3 linked regions of the Saccharomyces cerevisiae S288C genome follow. The protein of the gene in region 1 binds, or shares a complex with, the protein of each later gene. Each region holds a gene or a part of one and is shown in the gene's direction. Other genes may lie near its edges. The genes, in order: ENT1, CHC1 and SLA2.

Evidence for each region.
Region 2: the proteins of ENT1 (region 1) and CHC1 are in contact, whole or in part, in a crystal structure (PDB 9EYT), measured with the Saccharomyces cerevisiae proteins. Residues at the interface, in NP_010120.1 of Saccharomyces cerevisiae: Gly448 (codon at 3,569), Tyr449 (codon at 3,572), Thr450 (codon at 3,575), Leu451 (codon at 3,578), Ile452 (codon at 3,581), Asp453 (codon at 3,584), Leu454 (codon at 3,587); in NP_011309.1 of Saccharomyces cerevisiae: Asp25 (codon at 4,919), Phe26 (codon at 4,922), Arg27 (codon at 4,925), Gln155 (codon at 5,309), Ile157 (codon at 5,315), Ile173 (codon at 5,363), Leu174 (codon at 5,366), Gln175 (codon at 5,369), Ile180 (codon at 5,384), Phe266 (codon at 5,642), Ile268 (codon at 5,648), Lys284 (codon at 5,696), Phe310 (codon at 5,774), Lys326 (codon at 5,822).
Region 3: the proteins of ENT1 (region 1) and SLA2 are in contact, whole or in part, in a cryo-EM structure (PDB 7B2L), measured with the Saccharomyces cerevisiae proteins. Residues at the interface, in NP_010120.1 of Saccharomyces cerevisiae: Leu63 (codon at 2,414), Asn64 (codon at 2,417), Lys66 (codon at 2,423), Gly67 (codon at 2,426), Tyr100 (codon at 2,525), Ile101 (codon at 2,528), Lys103 (codon at 2,534), Thr104 (codon at 2,537), Leu105 (codon at 2,540), Glu107 (codon at 2,546), Arg109 (codon at 2,552), Ile116 (codon at 2,573), Gln120 (codon at 2,585), Arg123 (codon at 2,594); in NP_014156.2 of Saccharomyces cerevisiae: Lys24 (codon at 3,709), Arg25 (codon at 3,712), Lys26 (codon at 3,715), Arg29 (codon at 3,724), Ile32 (codon at 3,733), Val33 (codon at 3,736), Trp36 (codon at 3,745), Asp37 (codon at 3,748), Glu73 (codon at 3,856), Tyr247 (codon at 4,378), Thr250 (codon at 4,387), Leu251 (codon at 4,390), Val252 (codon at 4,393), Thr253 (codon at 4,396).

What each region holds. Positions count from the first base shown.
Region 1 is NC_001136.10:165,487-173,518, forward strand, and holds ENT1 (epsin), read left to right. Parts: upstream 1-2,227; coding exon 2,228-3,592; downstream 3,593-8,032. Other genes in the region: DNA ligase (ATP) CDC9, read right to left, coding at 1-1,768; MHF2 (Mhf2p), read right to left, coding at 3,880-4,122; DExD/H-box ATP-dependent RNA helicase DHH1, read right to left, coding at 4,924-6,444; YDL159W-A (uncharacterized protein), read left to right, coding at 6,696-6,827; mitogen-activated protein kinase kinase STE7, read left to right, coding at 6,995-8,032. UniProt on the Saccharomyces cerevisiae protein: Binds to membranes enriched in phosphatidylinositol 3,5-bisphosphate (PtdIns(3,5)P2) and phosphatidylinositol 4,5-bisphosphate (PtdIns(4,5)P2). Required for endocytosis and localization of actin. Negatively regulated via phosphorylation.
Region 2 is NC_001139.9:100,515-112,350, reverse strand, and holds CHC1 (clathrin heavy chain), read left to right. Parts: upstream 1-4,846; coding exon 4,847-9,808; downstream 9,809-11,836. Other genes in the region: YGL204C (uncharacterized protein), read left to right, coding at 346-651; POX1 (acyl-CoA oxidase), read right to left, coding at 1,947-4,193; chromatin-remodeling protein SPT16, read right to left, coding at 10,275-11,836. UniProt on the Saccharomyces cerevisiae protein: Clathrin is the major protein of the polyhedral coat of coated pits and vesicles. In yeast, it is involved in the retention of proteins in an intracellular membrane compartment, presumably the trans-Golgi.
Region 3 is NC_001146.8:184,412-194,021, forward strand, and holds SLA2 (Sla2p), read left to right. Parts: upstream 1-3,639; coding exon 3,640-6,546; downstream 6,547-9,610. Other genes in the region: CRS1 (cysteine--tRNA ligase), read left to right, coding at 1-767; VPS75 (Vps75p), read left to right, coding at 1,049-1,080, 1,176-1,938; U2-type spliceosomal complex subunit CWC25, read right to left, coding at 1,935-2,474; SUI1 (translation initiation factor eIF1), read right to left, coding at 2,759-3,085; ATG2 (Atg2p), read left to right, coding at 6,913-9,610. UniProt on the Saccharomyces cerevisiae protein: Required for cellular morphogenesis and polarization of the cortical cytoskeleton. It might act in concert with proteins such as CDC42 and CDC43 to limit the region of cortical patch formation to the cortex of the bud.

The sequences.
Region 1 (8,032 bases):
TTTTACTTGGTTCATAATGGGATTCAGGGCCCTCCAACATTTTGACCATCAAACCTTCGCATGAGTGATTAACGGACTCATCAAGGAATTTTTGAAGTTCATCAAGGTTATTTGTTGTTATCTGAGTCGCGTATTGGAATTCTCCCGGGACAACTTTTGTAACCTTCGTCAAGTATTCTCTTCTTTCCTTTAGTGACTTATTAATCAGCCTTTCATCGTTGTAGCAAAGTATATCAAATGCAAAGAGACAGACTTTAACTTTAACATCATTCAGCTCCACGTCTTTACGTTTCCTTGTACTTAAGACCTGGAAAGGCAAAATTTTCCCCTGATCTTTGTCCCAAGCAACAGCCTCACAGTCTAGAATTAAATTTTTGGTAGTATCCAAATCCTGGATAAAATCCGTTATGTTAATTTCTGGATATCTCTCAGTCATATTCTCGCCATTTCTGGAATAAATCCTCATTGTACCATCATTTAGTAAATGCACCTGAGCCCTTTCACCATCGTATTTGTATTCTGACGTAAAAGTTTCGCCTTGAAATCTATCCAATACTTCATTAATTGCCTTGGTAGGCTTGGCTAACATGGGTTTCAATGGAATTCCTGGTCTTAGAGTACAATATTTATCTAAATTCATAATACCGTGTTCCAGGCATGAGTTTATAACAATTTCATAGTTGGGTACTTGACAAAATGCGTCTCTTATCTTTTGTTGAGCACTTTCTAACACATCCATGGGGACATCTTTGTCTGGAGAGTCCTCCCTATTTTCATCATGGAGCAAAAGAGCCTTCGATAGGGATATTAAGACAGTCTTTTCAGCAAGACCGATTCTCAATTTTGACTCTAGGGATCTAATCAAAAACTTAGCCTCTATACCTTTGCAAGCAGTAAGCATTCTCTTGATCAGCTTCATCTTTTTTAATTGTGAATCTTTGCCCTGAGTCTTAGCAATAGCTCTAAGATTTTTGAAGACCTCACCCACGGTCAAGGGTTTGGGCTTAAACATAGTGGGTTGGACATTTCTCGCACCCATTGCTATTTCACCCAAATCCCCAATATCCTTGTATTTAAGTTTAATTTGGCTCATGGATTTCCCGCAAGTTTCGCTTATGGTTTTCATAAGAAGATTTTCTCCAAGGCCTAATTCCAAGCCTGCTTCGTAGTCAGGGCCCAATCTATTGATGAAAAGGTATGTTGTAGGTATTAAGTTCTTAGACGATTGCTTCATTATCTTAATAAAGAAATCAGAACAGATTCTTATAATCTCTAAACGGGAAGATATGGCCTCAATCTTGTTAAAAACCTCACAAACTTCAGAATAGGGGATATTAGACGAATAGTGATCATTATTATTTGAGCTCAAGGCGTCTTCAACTTCACCTACCAACCTCTGAGATTGTTGCGGTGAATCAGCAACACCGGAAGAGGGAGCGGATGATGGTATAGAAGAAAAATTGCTACCCATGGAGCTTGGAGCTGCTACAGTATGTGTAACAGCCGTCTGTTTCAATTTCTTGGTCGCGTATTCCTCTTCCCCACTAACATTATCCATTCTATCTTCCAGCATATGTTTGGATGATTTTTTGGGAGAAGGAGTACCTTCTGTTGGCTTATTTTTCATGGAAGTGAAGAATCTAGCCAAAGTGGCTTGTTTAGGCTTCTTACCGGCAGAGGAAGGTAATGAGGATGACATCAATAATGGCAATCTTGATTTCAAGGGACGTGCAGATGAAAGAAGGCAACCGGTCAGTAATCTGCGCATGTAATTGATGAACAATGACGTTAAAAGCTGCTCTAAACCTCCAAAATCATTACTTTTATTTTTGAACAAAGTACAGCGAGATGCAAACGCATGGCTTATTGCAGCTAAATTTCACTTTCACGCGTTTTCGCGTTAAGGTGAAAAATTCCATCAGCCATCTCAAGTGGAGGAACACATCGAAGCGAGCAAAAAGATGACAGAGTTAAACAGCAATAGAACCAGCGGCTGCAGTACGAATTCCTATTGCAAGTCTTACGGAAGGTTGGTGGGGCCTTATGTTGTTCAAAGTACTTGATTTTGGAAGTATGGTTGTCTGAAATTGTGGCTACGTATAGAGAATCATCCGGGTAATGATGAAAGTTTCTTTCAATGACAAATAGGAGTTTTAAGAAGTAGAAGAAAGAGCCGTTCGTATGAGTGCCAGGATCAGAAGGAAAGGGAGCAAGAGGCAGAACAATCATGTCGAAACAATTTGTTAGATCTGCGAAGAATTTGGTGAAAGGGTACTCTTCTACCCAGGTCCTGGTAAGAAATGCAACGTCAAACGACAATCATCAAGTGTCCAAGGACTCGTTAATTGAGCTGGCTGAAAAATCATATGATAGCGCAGATTTCTTCGAAATCATGGATATGCTGGACAAAAGACTTAACGACAAGGGCAAATACTGGAGGCATATCGCAAAGGCATTGACAGTAATAGATTACTTGATCAGGTTTGGTAGTGAGAATTGTGTTCTTTGGTGTAGAGAAAATTTATACATCATCAAGACATTGAAGGAGTTCAGGCACGAGGACGATGAGGGCATAGATCAAGGTCAAATCGTTAGGGTCAAAGCAAAAGAATTGACTGCATTACTATCTGATGACGAAAGACTGAACGAGGAAAGGAACATGAATATCAAGGGAAGAAACAGGAAAGGAAGAAGAAGAAGGGGAACTGGGCGCAGTGATGAAAATGACGATGATTTGCAAAGAGCCATTAGTGCTAGCAGGTTGACGGCGGAAGAAGACGAAAGAAGAAGAAAACAGGACGAGGATTATGAAACAGCTTTGCAGTTGAGCAAAGAAGAAGAGGAGCTAAAAAGATTGCAAGATTTACAAAGAATGCAACAACAGCAAGGCCAACAACAATTGCAACAACCTATGTATTATGATATTTTTGGTAACCCAATCACTCCTGAGGAATACGCACAATTTCAATTGCAACAACAGCAACAACAGCAACAACAACAGTTGCAACAACAACCAATGTACTACGATGTATTCGGGAATCCTATAACACCCGAAGAACTAGCACAGTTTCAACAACAACAACAACTACAGGAACAACAGTACTTAGCTTCTATGCAACAGCAGCAACAGGCAATGTCCAACAATCCATTTGCCAAATCAGAACAGAGCTCAAGTTCACCAAAACGGAACCAACTAGTAGCAGCTTCTTCTCCACAGCAACTGCAACAACAAAAACAACAAGAGCCATTGATTCAAAACAGGACAGGCAATCAATCAATGACAGACAAGTATAGTAAACTAAACGAGCTACTAGCCACAGGAACAGGTATTGATACATTCGGAAATGTAGGGGAGGCTCGTATTCCTGCCCAACATACGAAGACAGGAACATTCATCAATTCTCAAGGAACAGGATATAGGCAAGTATCGGATGATCCAAACCACAATCCGTTTTTGAACAGTCAGTATACAGGTTTACCAAGCACTAGCGTCGTACCAACACAAACAGGCTATGGCTTTGGTAACCAGTCTCAACAGCAGTCTCAAAATAATGGCTCAAATAACCGGGGATATACTCTAATTGATTTATGAAGTGATTCTGTCATTCCAGTCCGCATTTCTAATCAGATGAGCATTTTCTCGCATCGCATAATATATATGGACTAAGTAATTTAATCATTTCACAGCGCGTTTTGATGCAAGCGTTTAGTATAAAATGAACTGTATATTTGTATATGTGAGCGCACGATCGCTCCAAAAACTACTTTAGTAAACTAACGTAGTTCAGGACGACTGAAAGAAAATATAGTGCTTTAAATTTATCAGACAACCAGGAATGTCTTATGTCTTTACATGGATGTAATGTAAGTTGAATACTTTTACATATCCATCAGAAGAAGCCCTACGATACGCTCTAAATCTTGATGCGATAACTCTAAGGGACTTTTATCGCCACGTTCTCCGTTAATGTCCTTGTGAGATTGCAAGGACCGCAGCACCGCCTCATCAATGAATATATCCAAATATTTCTGTATCATTGGTACTACTTCATCGGCAATTTTCATATCATTACCACCTTCATTTTGGCTGAGGATTTTTATTAACGCTTCTTTAGATAACATCACCACAATTACTGTGCTCTGTACTCATGTCCTTTCTAAGTGCAATAATGTAAATTCTAACACGCTTTTATGTATGATTGATTTTTGATATTTTGGCCCGAAAGATAATTCTGGTCTCCCGGAAACATGAAGATGCAGCAAAGTAAAAAATAATAGGTAAAAATAATAAAAATACATGTATCTTTTTGGTTGGTTAATTTATCTAAACAGTTTTATATATATATGTATATATATATATATATATACACAGTATTAATATTCTTTCCTTGAGATTACTCTCTATAAAAAAAAAAAAAAAAAAGCTTTTAAAAAAAAAAAAACTCAAAAAAAGAAAGAATATTCAAAGAAAGTTTCATCTTGTCAGTTGAAATGAATAGTTTATTGTGGAAATTATAACAATAAAAGTTAGCTAAAAGCGAAAGTGTCGATGAAACTGGGCAAGTGCACTTGAGCTCTTGATATGGACGGTAGTATTGGTTACAACAATGACTGGTAAAAGAATGAAGTGGTTTGAGATAATTTTAGAGAAACAAAAAGAAATAACAAAGTGATAGTAATAAAAACGGTGCGCAAATGAGGATAAAAAAATCAGCACAGAAACTAGAGAAAACGGATAAAAAAATAAAAAAGCAGAGACAAAAATTAAATTACGACTGATTCTTGTTCAAAATCAATAGTAAAAGTATGGTTACAAAGTAATGTAATTCACAATGGAGATTTGAAAAAAGATAAAAATAATCGACGATTAGATCACAAAAAAAGCGTATCTCACCACAGTAGTTATTTTTTCTTAGATATTCTTTAATACTGGGGTTGTGACTGACCAGGTGGCATCGCCATGAAATGTTCCTGCTGTGGAGGATACCCCTGCTGCGATGGCATTTGCGGTGGAGGATACGCCTGTTGTTGCTGATGCGAAGGAGGAACCATGAATTGTGGATGATGTTGCTGCGGAGGAATAGCAAATTGTTGCTGAGATGGTAATTGTTGCTGAGGTATCGCTTGTTGATGATAGCTCTGTTGCTCTATCGGGAATGGGACAGGTACCGTTTCGTCATTTTCAGCCACATACAATGACTTATCGATAGTGGCCGGAATAGCCGCAATTTCAGTGCCCAGTTCTTGTTCGATTTTATAAAGGTTAAACCGATCATTCCAGTTAATCAAATTGATTGCTAAACCCAAGTGGCCAAACCTACCGGATCTACCAATACGATGTAAATATGTTTCTGCCGTTTTGGGGAAATCGAAATTGATAACGACATTAACGGCTTGAATATCGATACCACGGGTCAATAAATCGGAGCAGACCAATGTACGAACCTTACCTTGACGAAATTCGTGGAAAACTTTATTTCTTTCTTGTTGCTTCATTCTTGCATGAGAGTAATAACAGGAATAGCCTAAATCAGTGATTTTCTTGGCTAGTAATTCGACACGGTTAGTAGAATTACAAAAAATAATGGCTTGATTAATTTGAAGCTTAGAGAATAAAGTATTTAAACAATGTAGCTTTTGTCTTTCTTCAACAAAGGCGTAGTATTGAGTAATACCCTTTAGAGTCAATTCTTCCATCAAATTAATTTCATAAGGCTTATGCAGATGTTTAACCATGAATTCCTTAACCGTTAGTGGGAAAGTAGCGCTAAATAATAAAGATTGGTGAGTTGGAGGTAAGAAGGATAAGATTTGTTCAATTATTGTCTTGAAGTCACGAGATAACATTTTATCGGCTTCGTCCATGATGAATAATGAACAATCAGACAGATCTGCTACTTTTCTCGAAGCTAAATCCAACACTCTACCAGGAGTACCAACCAAAATATGGACTGTTTCATTTAATCTTAGAATATCGTCTCTCAAATTGGTACCACCAGTGGTCACCATACATGAAATACCACAGTGTTTTCCCAATGTACGGACGACTTGGGAAGTTTGCAGAGCTAACTCTCTTGTGGGAACCATGATCAAAGCCTGAATTTTATTCAACTTTGGTTTGACTTTCTCTAACGTAGGAATAACAAATGCGGCTGTCTTACCTGTACCATTCTTTGCTCTGGCCAATATGTCTCTACCAGTTATTGCTACCGGAATAGCCTCTTCTTGAATAGGGGATGGTTTTTCAAAACCGGCTTCAAAAATACCCATTAACAGCTCTCTTTTCAAATAAAAATCTTCAAAAGTATTACCCTTTGTATTTAAGACATCATCTGTCTGTGGTCTGGTATCCTTCTTGGGAATATTCAATGCAGTTTTCCAGTCCCGATCGAGATCCGTATTACTGTTATTATTAGTGTTGAAGTTATTATTGATGGAACCCATTACTACTATTTTCTTTCTTGTCGTATTTTAGGCCTGGGATAAGTTATTATGCGAATGGCGATGCGGTTATGAAGAAATAAAAGGGCTAAAAGTAAGAATTTTCTGCGTCTATCTTTCTATTAGGAATAAAATATGACTATATTTACTATTATTGTTGTTTTGTCGTACAATCCTTTATGAATGAAAATATTAAGCTTGTGGTCTTAAAAGAATGTGGATGAAACAAAACTGAATCCAATGATGAGAAATAAATGTACAATCAGATAATAAACACTTTTATTGATGATTGTCTTTTCTTGCAAACCCCAATGTTACAATCGCCCATTAGTTCTAAGATTGTGTTGTCCTTTTTCTTACGAAATTTTTTTCCCTCCCTTTTTTGATCACTGTCCTCGTTATAAGTGATTCGTGGGGTAACGGCGATATCATACTATTATTGGCCCATCTGATGGATTAGAAGACCTACAGGTTAATGTGAAGCGACACTAATGATAAGAAAACTGCATCGGATCATATCTGTTTTTGCAGCGTGGTATATTGGTTGTTGGTCATGTTTCAACGAAAGACTTTACAGAGAAGGAACTTGAAAGGGCTCAATCTTAACCTGCACCCAGATGTGGGCAATAATGGCCAATTGCAGGAAAAGACAGAGACTCACCAGGGACAATCTCGAATAGAAGGCCACGTGATGTCTAACATTAATGCAATACAGAATAATAGCAACCTGTTTTTGCGAAGAGGCATAAAAAAAAAACTGACGTTGGATGCGTTTGGTGATGACCAAGCTATATCGAAACCAAACACTGTGGTAATACAGCAACCGCAAAATGAACCTGTTTTAGTTCTGTCTTCTCTATCACAATCCCCGTGTGTATCATCATCATCATCTTTGTCCACGCCATGCATTATAGATGCGTACAGTAATAATTTCGGATTATCGCCATCATCCACGAATTCTACTCCCTCTACGATTCAGGGATTGTCCAATATTGCAACACCAGTTGAAAACGAACATTCGATATCACTACCACCTTTGGAGGAAAGCCTATCGCCAGCCGCAGCAGATCTGAAAGATACGTTGTCGGGAACTTCAAATGGTAATTATATACAACTCCAGGACTTGGTTCAGTTGGGGAAAATTGGTGCTGGAAATTCTGGAACTGTGGTGAAGGCACTACATGTTCCTGATTCCAAAATAGTTGCCAAAAAAACCATTCCTGTGGAACAGAATAACAGTACAATCATCAACCAATTAGTTAGGGAATTATCTATCGTCAAAAACGTTAAGCCCCATGAAAACATTATCACCTTCTATGGAGCTTATTATAACCAGCATATAAATAATGAAATCATAATTTTAATGGAATACTCTGATTGTGGTTCTTTAGATAAAATACTGTCCGTTTATAAAAGGTTTGTTCAAAGAGGGACTGTTTCGAGTAAGAAAACCTGGTTCAACGAATTAACAATATCAAAAATAGCGTATGGCGTACTAAATGGCTTGGATCATTTGTACCGACAATATAAGATCATTCATCGTGATATCAAGCCTTCCAATGTTCTGATTAATAGTAAGGGGCAGATTAAG
Region 2 (11,836 bases), on another chromosome or scaffold:
TTTTATTTAATTCACACTACTGAACTTCATATTAAAGTGTCGTCATTTAAGTCTAGTAGGTTATATTAATCGCGCACAATAGTTTTTTTTTATGCAAACTGTATCACGAATATTTTTTCAGTTTTCGGACCATTTTTTGACATTTTTAACCAGTTTTTAACATTTTTATGGTAGCGTTCTTTTATTTTTCACGTAATTGCATTGAAATAGACATAAACGTATAAAATAATATACAAGTAATTAGAGCTTTTGAACGAGATTGTTTAGTGGTTGTTTTAACTCCTTCACAGAAGTTGAAAACTTCAACGCATTCATAGCCCCACATATCAACACAAATCCCTGGAAATGAATGGAACTGATATCCTTCGTTTTTTGCAATCTTCCCCCACCATTAGTTACAGCAAACATTTTATACTTATAACAGCATGCCCTCTGTTTGTATTAGGACTATTATTGTTAGGTCTTAGAACAGCAATGTTCAAACAAGTAAGAGGTAAAACGACAACAAGTAGAAATAGAGGTGTCATTGCGGCAAAGTTATTAGTTGCATGGTATCTTGCCACCATAGTTATGTATATTGCTAAAAGCGAAATGTGGAAATATGCCTTTGCTGTTTCGCTACTTCTTAATAGTTTGGCACTATTTTTTTGAAAAAATGGAATCGATATTTCTGCATATTAATATCACCATCATTTCTCCTCCCTTATATGTTCCATTACCCTATTACATTATAAATCCTTGTATTTCTGCTTCCTCTACCTTCGATGAAAGCTTCTCATACCTTATGTCATCTTCTAACACCGTATATGATAATATATTGGTAGTGTGACTACTAGTTGATAAACTGTTGGAATAAAAATCAACTATCATCTACTAACTAGTATTTACGTTACTAGTATATTATGATATTCGGTGTTAGAAGATGACGCAAATGATGAGAAATAGTCATCTAAATTAGTGGAAGCTGAAACGCAAGGATTGATAATGTAATAGGATCAATGAATATTAACATATAAAACGATGATGATAATATTTATAGAATTGTGTAGAATTGCAGACTCCCTTTTATGGATTCCTAAATCCTGGAGGAGAACTTCTAGTATATCTACATACCTAATATTATTGTGTTGATAATTAGAGGTTAAAAATTAGTATTAATGAAGAAGTGAGTACTGATCTTCTTATACTAAATAAGAGAGGTATATAAAACACACGCCGATTGGTCATATTAATCATGACCAATATAATAGTGATTCCGGTAGTTACTATACATTGATGTGACGACTCATATTCCTCATATATGTACCTACCATATCATGTTCAGCTAATAGGTCTTTAACACAGCTTCAGTATTGTCTGAGCTTCTCGTTTAACATTCCTTCTGCAATAGGCGCAATCACACTTAAACGTATACGATGTGTACATTAATATACGATGTAAGCATTAGATTGTTACCATAGCAACTCATGTCACTATTAATTACTCTCGTTCCAACATATTGCCTTATTAAAAATGGAATCCCAACAATTACATCAGAATCCACACAATCATCATGATGTTTTAGAGCTTCATTCCAACAAGTGCCAACACAGCACATTTATTATTTGTTATGTATATAATTCTGAGATATTGAGTAAACACTCAATAATTACCTGCCATCTTAGTATAGTGGTTAGTACACATCGTTGTGGCCGATGAAACCCTGGTTCGATTCTAGGAGATGGCAATTTTTTTACTACTATACATTGGTAAATGTAGTCATGTCATTGATTCGTCATAGTTATGTGAATAGTATTAGATATGTAAATAGATAGAGAGTACCGTTATGCACATAAGATGGCCTCTCACTAGGATTTTGTAACTTTTTGTTAAAACTTGGCGACACTAGTTGAATTGAAACAAAAGTCGCAAAACAGAGGGTTCGAAGGAAAACAGGAAACCTCTACTCACTTGTTTATTTTCGATAAAATTTCCGCATTAGCTGCACCACCTAACTTTTGGTCAAATTCGAAACCTCTACCGAGCATGCTGCTCAACAGCGCATGATAAGAAGGCTTCCCTGCCCCATCTGCCTCCACTGGATTATTGCGGCAAACTTCATTGAAGTAATTGTGATAGATATCGCCATCAAAGTAACCTATAGGAGAATTTAACATCGCGTCAGGTAATTCAAAGGAGTCTGTCAGACCTATACAGTCTTTCCTCACAATTGGCAAAAGAGCCAATAGTTGTGGCTGCACAACTTTAGAGATCTGATCAGGAGTGAAGATCTTGAATTGTTGGAATTCTCCGGAATGCTTGTCAATAAAATACAAGGAAAATAACTTATAAACATTCCACATAGATTCCTTTGTAATTTCATCGGAAATATGTGAATCACGAGAGTTTAACTTGTCGTAATAGGTTTTCAACATGCAGCGCAAGGCATGAAATTTGGATACTAAGACTAAAAGCTTAGAAACGCTATCAATACTTCTTGATTTTTCAACTAAAGTACCAATATGTGCCAGTAATTTGATTAAGGTGATAGACCAAATTTCAGTATAATCACCCAACTCCTTTAAACCACTCTTTATTTCTCCAGAAACCACAGATCCTATGTACTGAGGTTTTAAGTAAGAGAATGAGTCCACATCCAGTGTGTTGTCAAATCTACCCTTTGTGGCTGAATCGATAAATTTTTTCAATATTGATTTTGCTGAAGTTAAAGATAAAACATTATTATCACCCTCCCATGTGCACTGAACCACCCAGTCGTCATAGCCTTTACCAAATCCGTTATACTGTGAATACCCATGTCCTCCGCAAGTCTGTCTCAACTCATCAATCAGTGTAGCAATTAACCAAGTATTGGTGGCTTTCAAGCTGGCGCTATCAATAAATAAATTCTTCAACTTTTTACTCACGGTAACCAGAGCAGCTTTGTATGCAGATGAGGAAGCGTTGTATAACTCGTCCAAAGTGGAATAATAGTTGTCCATTAACTTAAAAGCTACAGGTGACACCAAATATGGAACACACAATTGTGGTAAAACACGATATTGGTGAAGGGGATAGTCGATTAATTGTGTTTCAGACAATCCCTTTCTAGGTGCGAATTGCTGACGACCAACCGCGTAACGTACAGCAATAGTAGCAAATTTGGAGCCAAACCTAAATGAATCCATGACCATGTTAACTCTACCACTTAACAATGCACTATAACCAGAAATTTGATCCAATTGTGGCTCAGTTTTGACGGTGACTGAACCATCTGGAGAACGGACAACTTTGGTAAATCTACTTAGCATAAATTCTCTAGGGATAACTACGTTTCTGAACTGGATCCAGCCATTATCAATACCGTCACGACCCATCTTCGCTCCAATATCCCCTATGGAAACACCAGCTAACAGTTGGAAAGTCGAAGGGTCTCTCAGAGGAACAACGAATGTTTTTACACCGTAGTCTTTACCTTCAACGATCAATCTGGCGTACACGGCAGCGTGCGTGGCAGAATGGGCAGCCCCACCAATCCACCATTTGGTGGCAGTTAGATCAGGTGTATCAATTACAAAAGTATCATTTTGCTTATCGTACACAGCCCTAGTCTGCAGCTGGGCAACATTGGAACCATGTCCTAACTCAGTCATTGCAAAACAGCCATATATACCTTTCATCAAAGTGGCACCTCTCTCCTGCAACCAATACCGGATTTGCTCATCAGTACCATTGCCCTTGATACAATTACCAAATAGCCCCAAGTGTACACCCACGCGCGTACCCAATTGAGGATCAATATTTGCTACAAGTGACAATCTCTTATCGAATATAAAAAGGTCTTTGTTTGTTAAAGGCGAAGCTTTGTCTGGATCATTTGCTTGCAACTCTTTCATCAGGTCAGTGTCGCGAAAGTGTTTGCGCACTGTTTTGATATCGTGCTCCATATAACTAGCAAGCCTAGCTATTTTTTTGGCAGTAATTTCTCTCTCTTGCATTTTTTTAGCATCGTAATAGTCCGTATCAGTTTTCAATATAGGATCATTCACTATTTGGTCTATTAAGGCGTGCGTCAGAGTTCTCCTCTCCGGGGATGACTCTAAAAATGTGTTAACTTGGTCAACTTTGATTTTCGAATCCGCCCTTTCTTTCTGGATAAATTTTTGAGGATTCAGAACCACCGAATCGGGATTAATAGTAGTACGTCTCGTCATATCGCAATACTAATTTATTATATTTTCTTTTTTTCTGTGATACTTATTAGTGTCAAGTGTGTATTCAAAAACGGAGAGCAATATTAGTGATGATGAGCGGAATGAGGAAAACTTTAAGGCCTGTTCAAGTTGTTTAAATAATTTTTACAGGTTAGACCTTTATAAACACTCTTAAAGCCCCAATGTATTAGTGCTTTGACTTAACAACGCCAACGTTCTCTTGTGTACTTGCTTGTAGGTGATTTACCCCAACGGCTATTAGCCGCTAATGACCGAATTCCTTTCGCTTCGGAGTTTAATCAACTAATACCGTAAATATAGGGCTTAAAATGTGTCAGGGTTTGAACGCAAAAAAAGGAGGTTTATAATAAAATATTAGCACATTATAGGTTTTAAAGTTAAAAAATAATAGGGTTAATTTTATTACCCTACCCCCTTTTTTTGGTCGAGATCTCGCATTTTTCGTCGCTAGGAATAAATACAAAGAGAATTAAGAAAAGTAAAAAGTGGAACTGAAGGAATCTACAGAAATAAGGAGATATTTTGATTAGTTGTTCAGAGTAACTTATTGAAACCTCGACAATCCGGATCAGAGTTGAGAGAGAAAGAAGATATTCAACTATAAAAATAAATTATCACGAAAGTTCTAACCAATGAGTGACCTACCCATTGAATTTACCGAATTGGTCGATCTGATGTCCTTAGGAATTTCCCCTCAATTCCTTGACTTCAGATCAACTACTTTCGAGAGTGACCACTTCGTCACTGTTAGAGAAACAAAGGACGGTACAAACTCTGTTGCAATCGTGGATTTGGCCAAAGGCAATGAAGTGACAAGGAAGAATATGGGCGGTGATTCTGCTATCATGCATCCATCTCAGATGGTTATTTCCGTTAGAGCAAATGGTACTATCGTGCAGATATTTAATTTGGAAACTAAGAGCAAGTTAAAGTCTTTTACTTTAGATGAACCTGTTATTTTTTGGAGGTGGTTGAGTGAAACCACTTTGGGTTTTGTTACCGCAAGATCCATACTGACCTCGAACGTCTTTGATGGTAACGTAAATGCTAAGCCTCAATTGCTTACCTTGAGACACGCTAACTTGAACAATACCCAAATTATCAATTTTGTGGCTAACAAAAACCTTGACTGGTTCGCAGTTGTTGGTATCTTACAAGAAAATGGCCGTATTGCCGGTAGAATTCAATTATTCTCAAAACAACGTAACATCTCCCAAGCTATCGACGGTCATGTTGCTATCTTTACGAATATATTACTAGAGGGTAATGGCTCGACCCCGGTACAAGTTTTCGTTACTGGTAACAGAAATGCCACCACCGGTGCTGGAGAATTAAGAATTATCGAGATTGATCACGATGCTTCATTGCCTTCTCAATATCAAAAGGAAACTACCGATATTTTCTTTCCACCAGATGCAACGAATGATTTCCCAATCGCTGTTCAGGTGTCTGAGAAATACGGCATAATTTACCTATTAACCAAGTATGGCTTCATCCATTTGTACGAATTGGAAACCGGTACCAATTTATTCGTTAATAGAATTACAGCAGAATCTGTTTTTACTGCAGCTCCGTACAATCACGAGAACGGTATTGCATGCATCAATAAAAAAGGTCAAGTTTTAGCAGTAGAGATTTCTACTTCTCAAATCGTTCCATATATCTTGAATAAATTATCTAATGTGGCACTGGCCTTAATCGTTGCTACAAGAGGTGGCTTACCAGGTGCAGATGATTTATTTCAAAAACAGTTTGAATCTTTATTGTTACAAAACGATTATCAAAATGCAGCTAAAGTTGCAGCCTCTTCCACTTCTTTAAGGAACCAAAACACCATCAACAGGTTGAAAAACATTCAAGCACCACCAGGCGCCATTTCTCCTATCCTACTTTACTTTTCAACACTATTGGATAAAGGGAAATTGAATAAAGAGGAAACAATTGAATTGGCTAGACCAGTTCTACAACAAGACAGAAAACAATTGTTCGAAAAATGGTTAAAGGAAGATAAACTAGAATGTTCAGAAGAACTAGGTGACATCGTTAAGCCTTTCGATACTACTTTAGCGCTAGCTTGCTACTTAAGAGCAGGTGCCCATGCAAAAGTTATATCTTGTCTTGCCGAATTACAACAGTTTGAAAAAATTATTCCTTACTGCCAAAAGGTTGGATATCAACCTAACTTTTTAGTGCTGATTTCTTCTTTGATTAGATCATCACCAGACAGAGCTTCTGAATTTGCCGTATCTCTATTACAAAATCCGGAAACTGCTTCTCAGATCGACATAGAAAAAATCGCAGATCTATTCTTTTCCCAAAACCATATCCAACAAGGAACCTCTCTACTTCTAGACGCGTTAAAAGGAGATACCCCAGACCAAGGTCACTTGCAAACTCGTGTTCTTGAAGTCAATCTACTACACGCACCACAAGTTGCTGACGCCATATTGGGAAACAACATCTTTTCTCATTATGACAAACCAACTATTGCTTCCTTATCCGAAAAGGCGGGACTATACCAGAGAGCTTTAGAAAATTACACAGACATCAAAGATATCAAGAGATGCGTTGTCCACACCAATGCATTACCTATCGATTGGTTAGTCGGATACTTTGGTAAGTTGAACGTTGAACAATCTTTGGCGTGCTTAAAAGCTTTAATGGATAACAATATTCAGGCTAACATCCAGACCGTAGTACAGGTGGCAACTAAATTCTCTGATTTGATCGGTCCATCTACTTTGATTAAATTATTCGAAGATTATAATGCTACGGAAGGTTTATACTATTACTTAGCCTCTTTAGTCAACCTAACCGAAGATAAAGATGTGGTTTACAAATACATTGAAGCTGCTGCTAAAATGAAACAATACAGAGAAATTGAAAGAATTGTGAAGGATAACAATGTCTATGATCCAGAAAGAGTCAAGAATTTCTTGAAGGATGCCAATCTAGAAGACCAGTTGCCTCTAGTCATAGTTTGTGACCGTTTCGACTTTGTTCATGAAATGATTTTATATTTGTACAAATCACAGAACTTAAAATTTATTGAAACTTACGTGCAGCAGGTTAACCCTTCAAAGACTGCCCAAGTTGTTGGCGCATTACTTGATATGGACTGTGATGAGGCATTTATTCAAAGTCTGCTACAATCAGTCTTAGGTCAAGTCCCTATTAATGAATTAACTACTGAGGTTGAAAAGAGAAATAGACTAAAAATATTGCTACCTTTCCTAGAACAAAGCTTAAGTCAAGGTATCCAGGATCAAGCTGTTTACAATGCCTTAGCAAAAATTTATATTGATTCCAATAATTCTCCTGAAAAGTTTTTGAAGGAAAACGACCAATATGACACCTTAGACGTTGGTCATTACTGCGAAAAAAGAGATCCCTACCTTGCATATATTGCGTATGAAAAAGGTCAAAATGATGATGACTTGATTAGAATCACTAATGAAAATAGCATGTACAAGTACCAGGCAAGATATTTGTTGGAACGTTCTGATCTCGATTTATGGAACAAAGTTTTGAATCAAGAAAATATTCACAGAAGACAATTAATTGATTCGGTCATCTCCGTTGGTATCCCTGAATTAACTGATCCTGAACCTGTTTCCTTAACTGTTCAAGCATTCATGACCAATGGATTAAAACTGGAACTAATTGAGTTGCTAGAAAAAATCATATTGGAACCTTCTCCTTTCAACGAAAATGTGGCTTTACAAGGGTTGCTATTATTGTCTGCTATTAAGTATGAACCAACTAAGGTTTCAAGCTATATCGAAAAATTAGATAACTACGACGCCGATGAAATTGCTCCATTATGTATTGAACATGATTTGAAGGAGGAAGCTTTTGAAATCTATGACAAACATGAAATGTACGGTAAAGCTTTAAAGGTTTTAATCGAAGACATCATGTCTTTAGATAGAGCTGCTTCTTATGCTGATAAAATCAATACTCCCGAATTGTGGTCTCAAATTGGTACGGCTCAGTTAGATGGATTAAGAATCCCAGATGCTATTGAGTCTTATATTAAAGCAGAAGACCCATCAAATTACGAAAATGTAATTGATATAGCCGAACAAGCCGGTAAATACGAAGAATTAATTCCATTTTTACTAATGGCTAGAAAGACTTTGAAAGAACCAAAGATCGACGGTGCTTTAATCTTGGCCTATGCTGAACTAAACAAGATTCATGAAATTGAGAACTTGTTGGCAGGTTCCAATGTTGCAAACTTAGATCATGTTGGTGATAAATTATTCGAGAATAAAGAGTATAAAGCGGCCAGGCTATGTTATTCTGCTGTTTCTAATTACTCCAAGCTTGCTTCTACCTTGGTTTACCTGGGAGATTATCAGGCTGCTGTTGACACTGCTAGAAAGGCTTCAAACATTAAAGTTTGGAAACTGGTTAACGACGCTTGTATTGAAAAGAAAGAATTCAAGCTGGCTCAAATTTGTGGGTTGAACTTGATCGTTCACGCTGAAGAATTAGATGAACTGGTGGAAAGGTATGAATCAAACGGCTATTTCGAAGAACTGATTTCATTGTTTGAAGCTGGTTTGGGACTTGAAAGAGCTCATATGGGCATGTTCACTGAATTGGCCATTTTGTATTCCAAATATGAACCAGACAAGACCTTCGAACACTTGAAGCTATTCTGGTCCAGAATAAATATTCCAAAGGTTATTAGAGCTGTCGAACAAGCTCACCTCTGGTCGGAATTGGTCTTTTTATATGCTCACTATGATGAATGGGATAATGCTGCTTTAACACTAATCGAAAAATCAACCAAAGACTTGGATCACGCCTATTTCAAAGAAGTTGTTGTCAAAGTTTCTAACTTAGAAATCTATTACAAGGCCATTAATTTCTACGTCAAATTTCACCCATCATTACTAGTTGATCTTTTGACCTCATTGACACCAAGATTAGATATTCCAAGAACTGTCAAAATTTTCTCGAAATCCGACAACTTGCCTTTAATCAAGCCTTTCTTGATCAATGTCTTACCAAAAAATAACTCAGTTGTCAACCAAGCCTACCACGATCTGATGATTGAAGAAGAAGATTATAAAGCTTTGCAAGACGCTGTTGATTCTTATGACAAATTTGACCAATTGGGATTGGCATCTCGTTTGGAATCTCATAAGCTAATTTTTTTCAAGAAAATAGGAGCCCTGTTATACCGTAGAAATAAGAAGTGGGCAAAGAGTCTTTCAATCTTGAAGGAAGAAAAGCTATGGAAGGACGCTATTGAGACGGCAGCAATCTCTCAGGATCCAAAGGTAGTGGAGGCTCTACTCACATATTTCGTTGAAACCGGTAACAGAGAAGGCTTTGTTGCTTTGCTATATGCTGCTTACAACTTAGTGAGAATTGAATTTGTTTTAGAAATATCATGGATGAATTCTTTGGAGGACTACATTAAGCCATTTGAAATCTCCATAAAAAAAGAGCAGAATGATTCCATTAAGAAAATCACCGAAGAACTCGCTAAAAAGTCCGGATCTAATGAAGAGCACAAAGATGGCCAACCTTTGATGCTGATGAACAGCGCGATGAACGTTCAACCCACAGGATTTTAAGACGTGGATAAAATAATTCGTTTGCTGTACCCCATCGTGTATTTTTTTTTTTTTTACCGTTATTATTTTGTTTGTTAGCATCTTTGATTATCTGAGGGGATTTCAAAATGCCAATAAAAAAGACCTTATGAGTTCTGTATTTTTCTTAATATTTTCGAGAGAATTTCCCAACTATAAAATTGTAGATTACAGGAATAAATAAATTGCAGAAACTAAAATGATTGAAACTGCCTTTTCAATTTATATACTTTTATATCAAATTATGTTCAACTCTAGTAGAGTTTCTTTTATTACGCAAACGTCCTATGACCTTGACCGTTAGCATTGAGTGTACATTCAGTCCATTTACATTTCTTAGCATTGATAAATACTATGCCTAAATACCATCATTATTTTTCAGATACATAAGAGTAATTTTCTGTCAGATCAAGGTCTTGCTGGTGAAACCCAGTAAGTGTTATAAAGTCTAATCTCTAAAGTTTGCACCCCTATCAGCCCTAGCAGCCTTTTTCTCTAATTCATCCCAGTCTTCACCTTCCTCACTCTCGTCGCCAGTATAGTCCTCACTTTCATCACCACTAATATCGTCATCCACCTCTGATCCTTCTTCATCTTCAGAAAATGCGCTTTCATCACTTACGTCGTCTTCTGAAGCCTCATATTCACTAACTTCTTCTTCACTTTCATCAGATGCTTCATCATCTGAACCAGTAGCCAGAAAATTCCAACCACCATCTAAGAAAAACTGATATGGATCATCTTGTAATGACTTCATAATAGTTGCCCAATTCAAATTGATTGTTGAGACAGTGTAAGGAATATCCATATCTGTTAACCACTGCTTCAAGAAATCTAAAGATTCGATCGGAACTGTATTGATATGAGTGACGGGTTTATTGAAATCTTTATAAACAAAAACCATGTCGAAGTTTTTCAAACCAAATTGAACTCTTTCTAAAATACAGATTTCGACTTCCTCTAGGTTAATCACCAAAAATGGTGGTTCAATCAATTGAACTAAACAATCTGTAGTTGGCATACAGAAAACTGCCGATCTATTTGGGACACCTTGGAAGCCCAAATCTCTAAATGTATTCTCCACCGTCAATAAACCGTTTGATGCTTCTGCGATTGCGTCTGCAAAATACTTAAATTCTTTATCAAGCGCAGCTCGTTTTCTTCTTTCTTCTTGTTCTTGTTCCAGCTCATCCTCATCACCATATCTTCTGAATCTGGATTGACCTCGTCTTCCACCTCCAGTTTCATCGACGGACATATCAGAAGCTTCACGATAGAATTGGACGTCTTGTATTTTCTTTTTACCCATTAAAATTGGATTCTTCAAATGAATATGAATGACGACAATTAATTCACCTTTACAAGATTGAAAAATTAGATTCTTAATGTTTGAGAATAATATGTCTATTCTGCTATCAGTCCTTAGTGGGGATTGAAATCTGATACCATTTTCATGGATAAAGACAGTACTAGGTACACGTTTTGTATCTGGATTTGGCCTCACAAAAATTTGATCCAGTCTTTTCGTTCTTCCAGTTTTATTTTCAATCAATTTGTCCTGTTGAACAACATCAGCAAGCGCCTTACGTTCTTGCTCTCTCTTTGTGGCTTCTTTTTTCAAATCTGCAATTTGTTTAAAGGTTTCACTCATGCGGTCACCATCTTTGGATCTTAGTGTAATCGAACGTACAAATTGATTGTCTGCTGATTCCTCATACGGCAATTCCTCCACTTTTTTAGAAATACCACCAGAAGATCCCGGTGAATTAAAGTTCAAACGTAAATACGTATATTCGCCTTCTTCGTTTTTAGAACCATTCTTATATGAATTTATATGAAATGGGACTGGCCTACCGTAAATGGGTAGAATAATTGTTTGGCTTTTCCAGTCGACATGAATTCTTAGATCACGAATATTGGTTGGTAGTTGTGAATCCCGAACATAAGATTCATATTTTTTGAAGTATTGACGAGGTTCACTATCTGGGCCATTGGCATCAGCAGCACTAA
Region 3 (9,610 bases), on another chromosome or scaffold:
CTGATTTTGTTGAAAGTGAATCGAAAGTCCATTCGGCGTTCTGTGATAATTTATCCACACCTGTTGCTTTGAAGACACTGAGCGAATTAGTGACCAAGTCAAACACATACATTACCACTGCAGGTGCTGCTTTAAAAATTGAGCCCTTGATTGCTATCTGTAGCTACATCACCAAAATCTTAAGAATAATTGGATTTCCATCCCGTCCTGACAATTTGGGTTGGGCAGCCCAAGCTGGCTCCAACGATGGATCCCTAGGCTCATTGGAAGACACTGTTATGCCATATGTTAAGTGTTTATCCACATTTAGAGATGATGTACGTTCCTTAGCTATCAAGAAAGCCGAACCCAAGGAATTCTTGCAATTAACGGATAAAATTAGAAACGAAGATTTGCTAAACTTGAATGTTGCCTTGGATGATAGGAATGGACAATCTGCCTTGATCAAATTTTTGACTAACGATGAAAAATTGGAAATTGTCAAGCTAAACGAGGAGAAACATGCCAACGAACTAGCAAAGAAACAAAAGAAATTGGAACAGCAGAAATTAAGAGAGCAGAAGGAAAACGAGAGGAAGCAGAAAGCTCAAATTAAACCACAAGATATGTTCAAGGATGTCACATTGTACAGTGCTTGGGACGAGCAAGGCCTTCCAACAAAGGACAAAGACGGTAATGATATCACCAAGAGTATGACCAAGAAGTTGAAGAAGCAATGGGAACAACAAAAGAAGCTACATGAAGAGTACTTTGGTGAAGACAAATAGAATACTCGTGGCTTCGTTATGTGTGCAACTATTCAAAAGTACGTATATATGTATATACCATCTTTTTTTACGTTAAAATAGTGAAAAAGGAAAGGAGGAAAGAAAAAACTAATATAATTAATTGTATTATATATGTACTTTTCATTTTGGAATGTGAAAAAATTCCAGGCGGAAAAAATTGAAAAAATCAAACACTGCGCTTGTGAGAAAAGGGAAGAAAAGCATCCTAATGATTAGGCGCTTGATGTTGACGACAAACATTTCGAAGCATAACACTGCCAATGATGAGTGACCAAGAAAACGAGAACGAGCAGTATGTAGGATTGAGCTCTGCAGGGCATGAAATGGAAAAATAAAGCAACCCATTATACTAACAATATGCACTTAGCAAGTGCGGTAGATGGTCAGTGCAAAAGCATTCTTAGGATTGGCTAAATGCGAAGAAGAAGTGGACGCTATTGAACGTGAGGTAGAATTATACAGATTGAACAAAATGAAGCCTGTTTATGAAAAGAGGGACGCGTATATTGACGAAATTGCAGAGTTCTGGAAAATTGTGCTTTCACAACACGTTAGTTTTGCGAATTACATAAGGGCTTCAGATTTTAAATACATTGACACTATAGATAAGATCAAAGTAGAATGGCTGGCATTGGAGTCTGAAATGTACGACACTAGAGATTTTAGTATAACATTCCATTTCCATGGAATTGAGGGAGACTTCAAAGAGCAGCAAGTCACCAAGGTGTTCCAAATCAAAAAAGGCAAAGATGACCAAGAAGACGGGATACTGACTAGTGAGCCCGTTCCAATTGAGTGGCCCCAGAGTTACGACTCGATAAACCCGGACTTGATCAAAGACAAACGCAGTCCAGAGGGTAAAAAAAAGTACAGACAGGGAATGAAAACCATATTTGGCTGGTTCAGATGGACCGGCCTAAAACCCGGGAAGGAGTTCCCGCACGGCGACTCATTGGCGTCATTGTTCAGTGAAGAGATCTACCCTTTTTGTGTGAAGTACTATGCTGAGGCCCAGAGGGACTTGGAAGACGAAGAAGGAGAATCCGGGTTAAGCGCAGATGGCGACAGCGAGGATGACGATGGCAGTCTCGGTGAGGTGGACTTGCCACTATCCGACGAGGAACCAAGCTCTAAGAAAAGGAAAGTTTAGTAGTCTAGGTCCGGAGCGGGCTTGGACAACGGTTTCCCTCGTTGCGACATTGCTCTTTTTTTTGTTGAGTCTGGAGTTCTTCTTTGTTGTTTAGTTACCTTAAACTTACTCATTGGATCATCTTTAAGCAATTTTGACTTCTTCTTCTGCGAACTTATGGATGTTGCGGCACCAGAAGCGGAAATAGTAGTGGCCGCCCTTACAGGCGGTGTTGCAGGTTGGTTTAGTATAGATGAATCTAGTTTTTTCTTACCTAATAAATAGTCTTCCTTTTCGTCACTCAGTTTTGCATCCTGATACATCCATTCCAAGCCCGACTTCTTCAAAGCCAAGTCATTCTTGAGAGTCTCCGGCTTATCCTTGCTCGATTCGTTCAGCAGTTCATTTAGTTCTCGTTCTTTTTCAATTTCTTTCAATCGCGTGTTAAGCTTCTGCTGTTCGGTAATTAGATCCTGTTCGGTCTCCCATACTTTTTTTCTATTTTTCATAAGCTTGGGATTCCATGATTTCAACAGATTCAAATCGCCCGACCCCATGATAATGTACTCTCGATTTGGCCTTTCTTCCCTGTACTCAAAACTGAACGCTCATCTCTTTTGAGAAGCTGCATGCTACGTACCACTTGTTCTTATATCTCTGTATGTAAGCCCGCGGCGGGAGAAGAAGAAAAAGAAATAAAAAAAGATGAGATGTTATATTATATATTATAGTGTAAATATGCACTTGGACTTAAATAACTAAACAGTTACGTTTTATATAGGATAACAACACTAAGAAAGAAAGCGAGCAGCGAGTAAGCGACTCGGCGTAAGCCTTGAACTTAAAACCCATGAATTTTAATGTTCTTCTTTTGCAATCCCAGTTGGGAGATCATAAATTCGCAAACCTTTGCTCTTTGGTCACCCTGCAACTGAATAATCTCCCCCATTTCTGGATCCTTGACAATGTTACCATTACATGCAAAGTCCTTCTTTAGGACCTTAAGAATTCTCTTTAAATCATATTCCTCTGGGACACCTTGCACCGTAGTTAAAGTTTTTCTACCATTTCTCTGTTGGATACGAATATGAATATAGTTTGAAGTGGCGGTTTCGTCGTCTCCTGTGTCGGCGAAAGGATCAAATGATTTCAGATTCTCAATGGACATACGATTTGCTTCAGCTATATTAATATATTCCTTGTCTTTTTTGAAAAAGAATAGAAAGGAGAAAACCCCCAGCACGAAACGAAAACAACAAGTAGCTCTTCTCTTGTTTTGTCCTTTTGCAGTTTGCTTTTATCCCTGTGATGAAAAAAAAAAAAACTAAAATTTTTTGCCGGCGCATCGAAAAAATCTGTTACCCGACCCGTTATTGGTGATAATACCCATTTTTAACGCGATCACATATCATAAACTGCAGTGAGAGGGTCGTTTACAGTAGTTATAGTACCGAACCAAAAGACTGGAACCATGTACACATGATCCTTTTACGGGTACTTTTTATTGTAATGTAGGTCGGTGCGTTTTGTACGACGACGCAGCGGCTGCTCGTATAAAATGACGCGGTCGCGCGCCGTTTGACGTCCTATAGGAGAATGCCAAAAAGGGTGTTTTGCTGGAAAATATACATATATAAATATATATAAAGAATAGTGAAACAATAGAAATATTAGTAATACAGCCATAGCAGTAGTAGTGATAGTACTAGCAGCTAGAACAGGATGTCCAGAATAGATTCAGATCTGCAGAAAGCGCTTAAAAAGGCGTGTTCCGTTGAGGAGACCGCACCTAAGAGAAAGCACGTACGCGCATGCATAGTGTACACATGGGACCATCAGTCTTCCAAAGCTGTTTTTACAACCCTTAAGACGCTGCCTCTGGCCAATGACGAAGTGCAACTGTTCAAGATGCTTATTGTACTGCATAAGATCATACAAGAGGGACATCCGTCAGCGCTAGCTGAGGCCATCCGGGATAGGGACTGGATCAGATCTCTGGGTAGGGTACATTCTGGCGGTTCGTCGTACAGCAAACTGATTCGGGAGTATGTGCGGTACCTGGTTTTGAAGCTGGACTTTCATGCGCACCATAGAGGGTTTAACAACGGGACGTTTGAGTACGAGGAGTATGTGTCACTGGTTTCAGTTTCCGACCCGGACGAAGGGTACGAGACGATCTTAGATTTGATGTCGTTACAGGATTCTCTTGACGAGTTCTCGCAGATCATCTTTGCGTCGATTCAGTCCGAGAGGAGAAATACTGAGTGCAAAATTTCGGCGCTGATCCCGTTGATTGCGGAGTCATATGGTATTTATAAATTCATCACCTCGATGCTGAGAGCTATGCACAGGCAATTGAATGATGCGGAGGGTGACGCTGCTCTGCAGCCCTTGAAAGAACGGTACGAGTTGCAACATGCAAGGCTGTTTGAGTTTTACGCGGACTGCTCTTCTGTGAAGTACTTGACCACGTTAGTAACCATTCCAAAACTACCCGTGGACGCTCCAGACGTATTTTTAATCAACGATGTGGACGAGTCAAAAGAGATTAAGTTCAAAAAAAGAGAGCCCTCTGTAACTCCAGCGCGGACGCCGGCACGGACTCCAACACCAACACCACCTGTTGTTGCTGAGCCGGCTATTTCCCCACGTCCGGTATCTCAAAGGACTACTTCGACGCCTACGGGTTACTTGCAAACTATGCCGACGGGTGCCACCACTGGGATGATGATCCCCACTGCCACTGGTGCAGCTAACGCCATTTTTCCACAGGCGACGGCACAAATGCAGCCGGACTTCTGGGCCAATCAACAAGCCCAGTTTGCGAACGAGCAAAACCGTCTCGAGCAAGAGCGTGTGCAACAGTTGCAACAACAGCAGGCACAGCAGGAACTGTTTCAACAGCAGTTACAAAAAGCACAACAGGATATGATGAATATGCAGCTTCAACAACAAAACCAACATCAAAACGATTTAATTGCCCTCACCAATCAATATGAAAAGGACCAGGCTTTATTGCAGCAATATGACCAAAGAGTGCAGCAGCTGGAAAGTGAAATCACAACGATGGATTCTACAGCTTCCAAACAATTGGCTAATAAGGACGAGCAACTAACTGCATTGCAGGATCAATTGGATGTTTGGGAAAGAAAATATGAGTCTTTAGCCAAGCTATACTCCCAGTTGCGTCAAGAGCATCTAAATCTTTTACCTCGTTTTAAAAAACTGCAGTTAAAGGTGAATAGTGCGCAGGAATCCATTCAGAAAAAGGAACAGTTAGAACACAAATTGAAGCAAAAGGATTTGCAAATGGCCGAGTTGGTTAAGGACCGTGACAGGGCAAGGTTAGAATTAGAAAGATCCATTAATAATGCAGAGGCGGACAGTGCAGCGGCGACAGCAGCAGCAGAAACAATGACTCAGGATAAAATGAACCCTATTCTGGATGCCATATTGGAAAGCGGTATCAACACCATCCAGGAATCGGTCTATAATCTCGATTCTCCTTTGAGTTGGTCGGGTCCGCTGACTCCACCCACTTTCCTTTTGTCCTTATTGGAAAGTACTTCTGAAAACGCCACTGAGTTTGCCACCAGTTTCAATAATTTGATAGTAGACGGCCTTGCACACGGCGACCAAACAGAGGTCATACACTGCGTTAGTGATTTCAGTACTTCGATGGCTACACTGGTGACCAATTCAAAGGCGTACGCCGTTACTACATTACCTCAAGAACAGTCTGATCAAATTTTGACCCTGGTGAAGAGATGTGCCAGAGAGGCCCAATATTTCTTCGAGGATTTGATGTCTGAAAATCTTAACCAGGTCGGTGATGAGGAGAAAACTGATATCGTCATCAATGCCAACGTGGACATGCAAGAGAAGTTGCAAGAGCTATCTTTGGCTATCGAACCGTTATTGAACATACAATCTGTCAAATCAAATAAAGAAACGAACCCACATTCTGAATTGGTTGCCACTGCTGACAAAATTGTCAAATCCTCAGAACACTTACGTGTTGACGTTCCTAAACCATTGTTGTCATTGGCATTAATGATTATTGATGCTGTTGTGGCTTTGGTAAAGGCTGCTATTCAGTGCCAAAATGAAATTGCCACCACGACAAGTATTCCTCTGAACCAATTCTACTTGAAAAACAGCAGATGGACAGAAGGTTTGATCTCCGCGGCAAAGGCTGTGGCAGGTGCAACCAATGTTTTAATCACTACTGCTAGTAAGTTAATCACTTCTGAAGACAATGAAAACACATCACCTGAACAATTTATCGTCGCCTCCAAAGAAGTGGCCGCATCCACAATACAATTGGTAGCAGCATCGAGAGTGAAAACTTCCATCCACTCGAAGGCCCAAGATAAATTGGAACACTGTTCCAAAGATGTTACCGATGCATGCAGAAGTTTGGGTAACCACGTCATGGGTATGATTGAAGATGATCATTCGACTTCGCAACAGCAGCAACCATTGGACTTCACATCCGAACACACATTGAAGACTGCCGAAATGGAACAGCAAGTGGAAATTTTGAAGTTAGAACAATCCTTGAGCAATGCCAGGAAGAGATTGGGCGAGATAAGAAGGCATGCCTACTATAACCAGGATGATGATTGATCATGAATTGTACTTTTTATATATAAAGATAAACGTTAATATAAATATATTTATTTGAAGACGTCTTTTACGTTTTTCTGTATCTGATTGGTATATGCGTTCTCGTCCGGGGACATTTTTTCTTTTTTTGGTGCGGCGAATGGAAATAATCGCGATAATGAATATGCAAGGAACAAAGAACAGACACCCCACCCTTATTATCATATCACATCTCTGTAGGAGTCTACCATTTTGCTTCTATTGTAATCTTTGCGACTTTATTTCAACTCACCATTCATACAAAATTTCTACTGCCGTTTAAAATAAGGAAAGCATAAAGATTAAAGCAAATTAAGAGGAACCCTTTTTTTTTTTGATTTCGATACAATGGCATTTTGGTTACCTCAAAATATACAAAAGCGGCTGCTTCTTTACGTCCTTCAGCAAATTTCGCTGTTCTCCAATATAGATTTATCTAACTTGGACGTTTCTATAGGGTCTAAGTCACATTTCTCGTTCCATGATGTGAATCTGTCACTTGATGATCTCAACATTCCAAACGTGCAAATAAACGAAGGCATAGTTGACGAGCTTGTGTTAAAATTAACAGTTTCTGGCGGTGTGGAAATCGATGGGTCTGGTTTAAGATTTATCATGACACCTTTATATTCCAGTGGCTCACAGGAACTTCACTCAGATTTTTTGGTTAAAAGCATCCAAGATCTTACGAATTCGATGTTACAATTTAGTGATCCATTGACCACATATAATAGGTACAAAGAAGATGACATTAGCTCTTCAGACAGTAGTAGTGATCTCAACTCTAATATAGAAGCTTCAAAACCAGCCGCAAATGGTTCTTATACTCTTCAAAATATGCGGAACAAGGCCCTTAATGTAGCCTTAGCGAAATTGAAAATAGCATTAAAGGACGTTACCATACGTTTCATAGTGAATGATAGAGATCCTTCCGATAACATTGTGGAGGTTCATCTAGAAAGCATACAACTTATTACTACAGACGCAAATTTACGACATATAAACATTGAAAATATCACCATTTCCTCAATACAAAAACAAGCTGTACCCGACTCTCCTGTGCATCCTTTCAATAATGACGATCTGTCACAAAGCGTTTATTTATCAAAAATGGAGGCTACTTCACTTTATATGAGCGCCATGGAAGAGCAATCAAATGAAGACCCCAGTGAACCCCAAGTTACACAAGAAGAACAAGAGAATGATAAGTGCAAGGAATCTTTAATGGAAATAAATAATTTGAACATAGCTTTTAAGGGTTTATCATCGGTCAATGATCTCAGAATGTCTAATATTGTTATTGATATTCAGGATGTTCATTTAGCGATACACAAAATTGTCGAAATCAAAAACTCCACTTTGAAGAATATTATAGATATCATTGTTACACATTTGGATGCCAATGAAAGCTTTTCTTGCCAGGATTCCCAAAGTCCTTCACCTGACAAGCAGGAACCATCAGCTCTTTCTTCTGTTGATATCAAATGTATATACTTAAACTTAGGCCAAGATATCACAGTAATTTTGAAGAGCTTTAAATTAGAGCAAAAGGAAAATAATTCATTGGCATTTTCTTTAGGCTCATTTTATTCTAATTCGAGTCCATTGACAATTAGCCATAAAACTAAGCCATTGCTCACTGGAGAACAAACCCCTCAAAGCATCGCATTAAATATGGGCGACGAACTAGATATTATTATCAGTCATGATGGCATTGCGCATTTCTTTAAAATCTTTCAGTTTGTTTCAAAATGTATGTCCTTTTATCAGAATAAGTCAAAAGGGATGATGCCTCAAATAGCATCGGATACTAAAAGGACCGTACAACTTACCTCAAAAGCAGTGAAGTTGTCGCTTAAGTTTCCATATTTTTTATTATGTTTCCAGGTTTCACCCTTCATTTACGACTCTAACCGTGAGTTGTACATTGAGCTTGTAGACGTATTTAAAAAACTACCTTCTCGGTGCACGAAAATATTGACAATGTCGAGCATTACGATCTCGAACTTGCAATCCCCTCTACAACTGGGTTCATATGACGATACTTTGAAAGAAGCGCTAATTTATAGTTCTGTCCATGCAATCATCAAAGAAGTGATATTTAACGAAGAATATTCTGGAATAGTACAATTAGTCGAAGATATTTCTGCGTTTGGAAAACTTTTCACGGATTCAAAGAACAGTGAATGTACAGGAAAGTCTAAAAGCAAGAGAGGCTCCTTTTTGCAGAGAAGTGTCAGAGTACTTAATTCTTCCAGGTTCGTTTACAAGCAGAGTTTATCCGCTAATTTTTCTCTCAAGATAGATTCCATGAAGTTAAAAGTATCAGAAATTATAGGGCCGCAATTTGGTTCTGTGGAAGCATTACTATCAAATAATTTCTTTGCGATTACGGATGACTCTCAAATTGTATATTTTACAAAGAACTTAAAGGTAGAAAGAAAGACACCGTCATTATTAGAGCCACAAGAAATCATGTCAGTAGTTTTGAATAAAGCAGTTAACGAACCTGTACTATATGTTCATAGAAGGGCGAATGGAAAGTTAAAAGTCATTTTTAACAACATTCGCATACATTACTATGCAAGGTGGTTAGAAATACTAAAGAAAAACATCGGCCCGGATAATGCCAGTTCAAAAGATGAACCTGTTTCACAAAAGCTTAGTAAAAAACAACCGACTTCAGGATTTCCCTGGGAACTCAAATGTCTGGACTGCTCTCTAATTCTGCACCCTTTCAGATTAAAAAGTGTAATGGTCATTGTACTTGACAATCTAACAACTGGTGGAAGTTCATTTATTCCGCAGGCAAAGCTTCTTTCAAAGGCGAATACACTCTTCCTAATAGATGACTATCAGAATTTCAAAATTCAAAAAGATAAGAACTGGCCTAGTTTGATAAATTTTTATGCTGGTCAAGGTTTCTCTGCAATCGGTAAAATAGATACTTTGAATTTTTTAATAAACAAATCCGATGGTGCCCTTTTATTGGATTGTAAAATAGAACAAGTTGGTCTTTCATTATGCGCGGATTCTTTTCAAACTT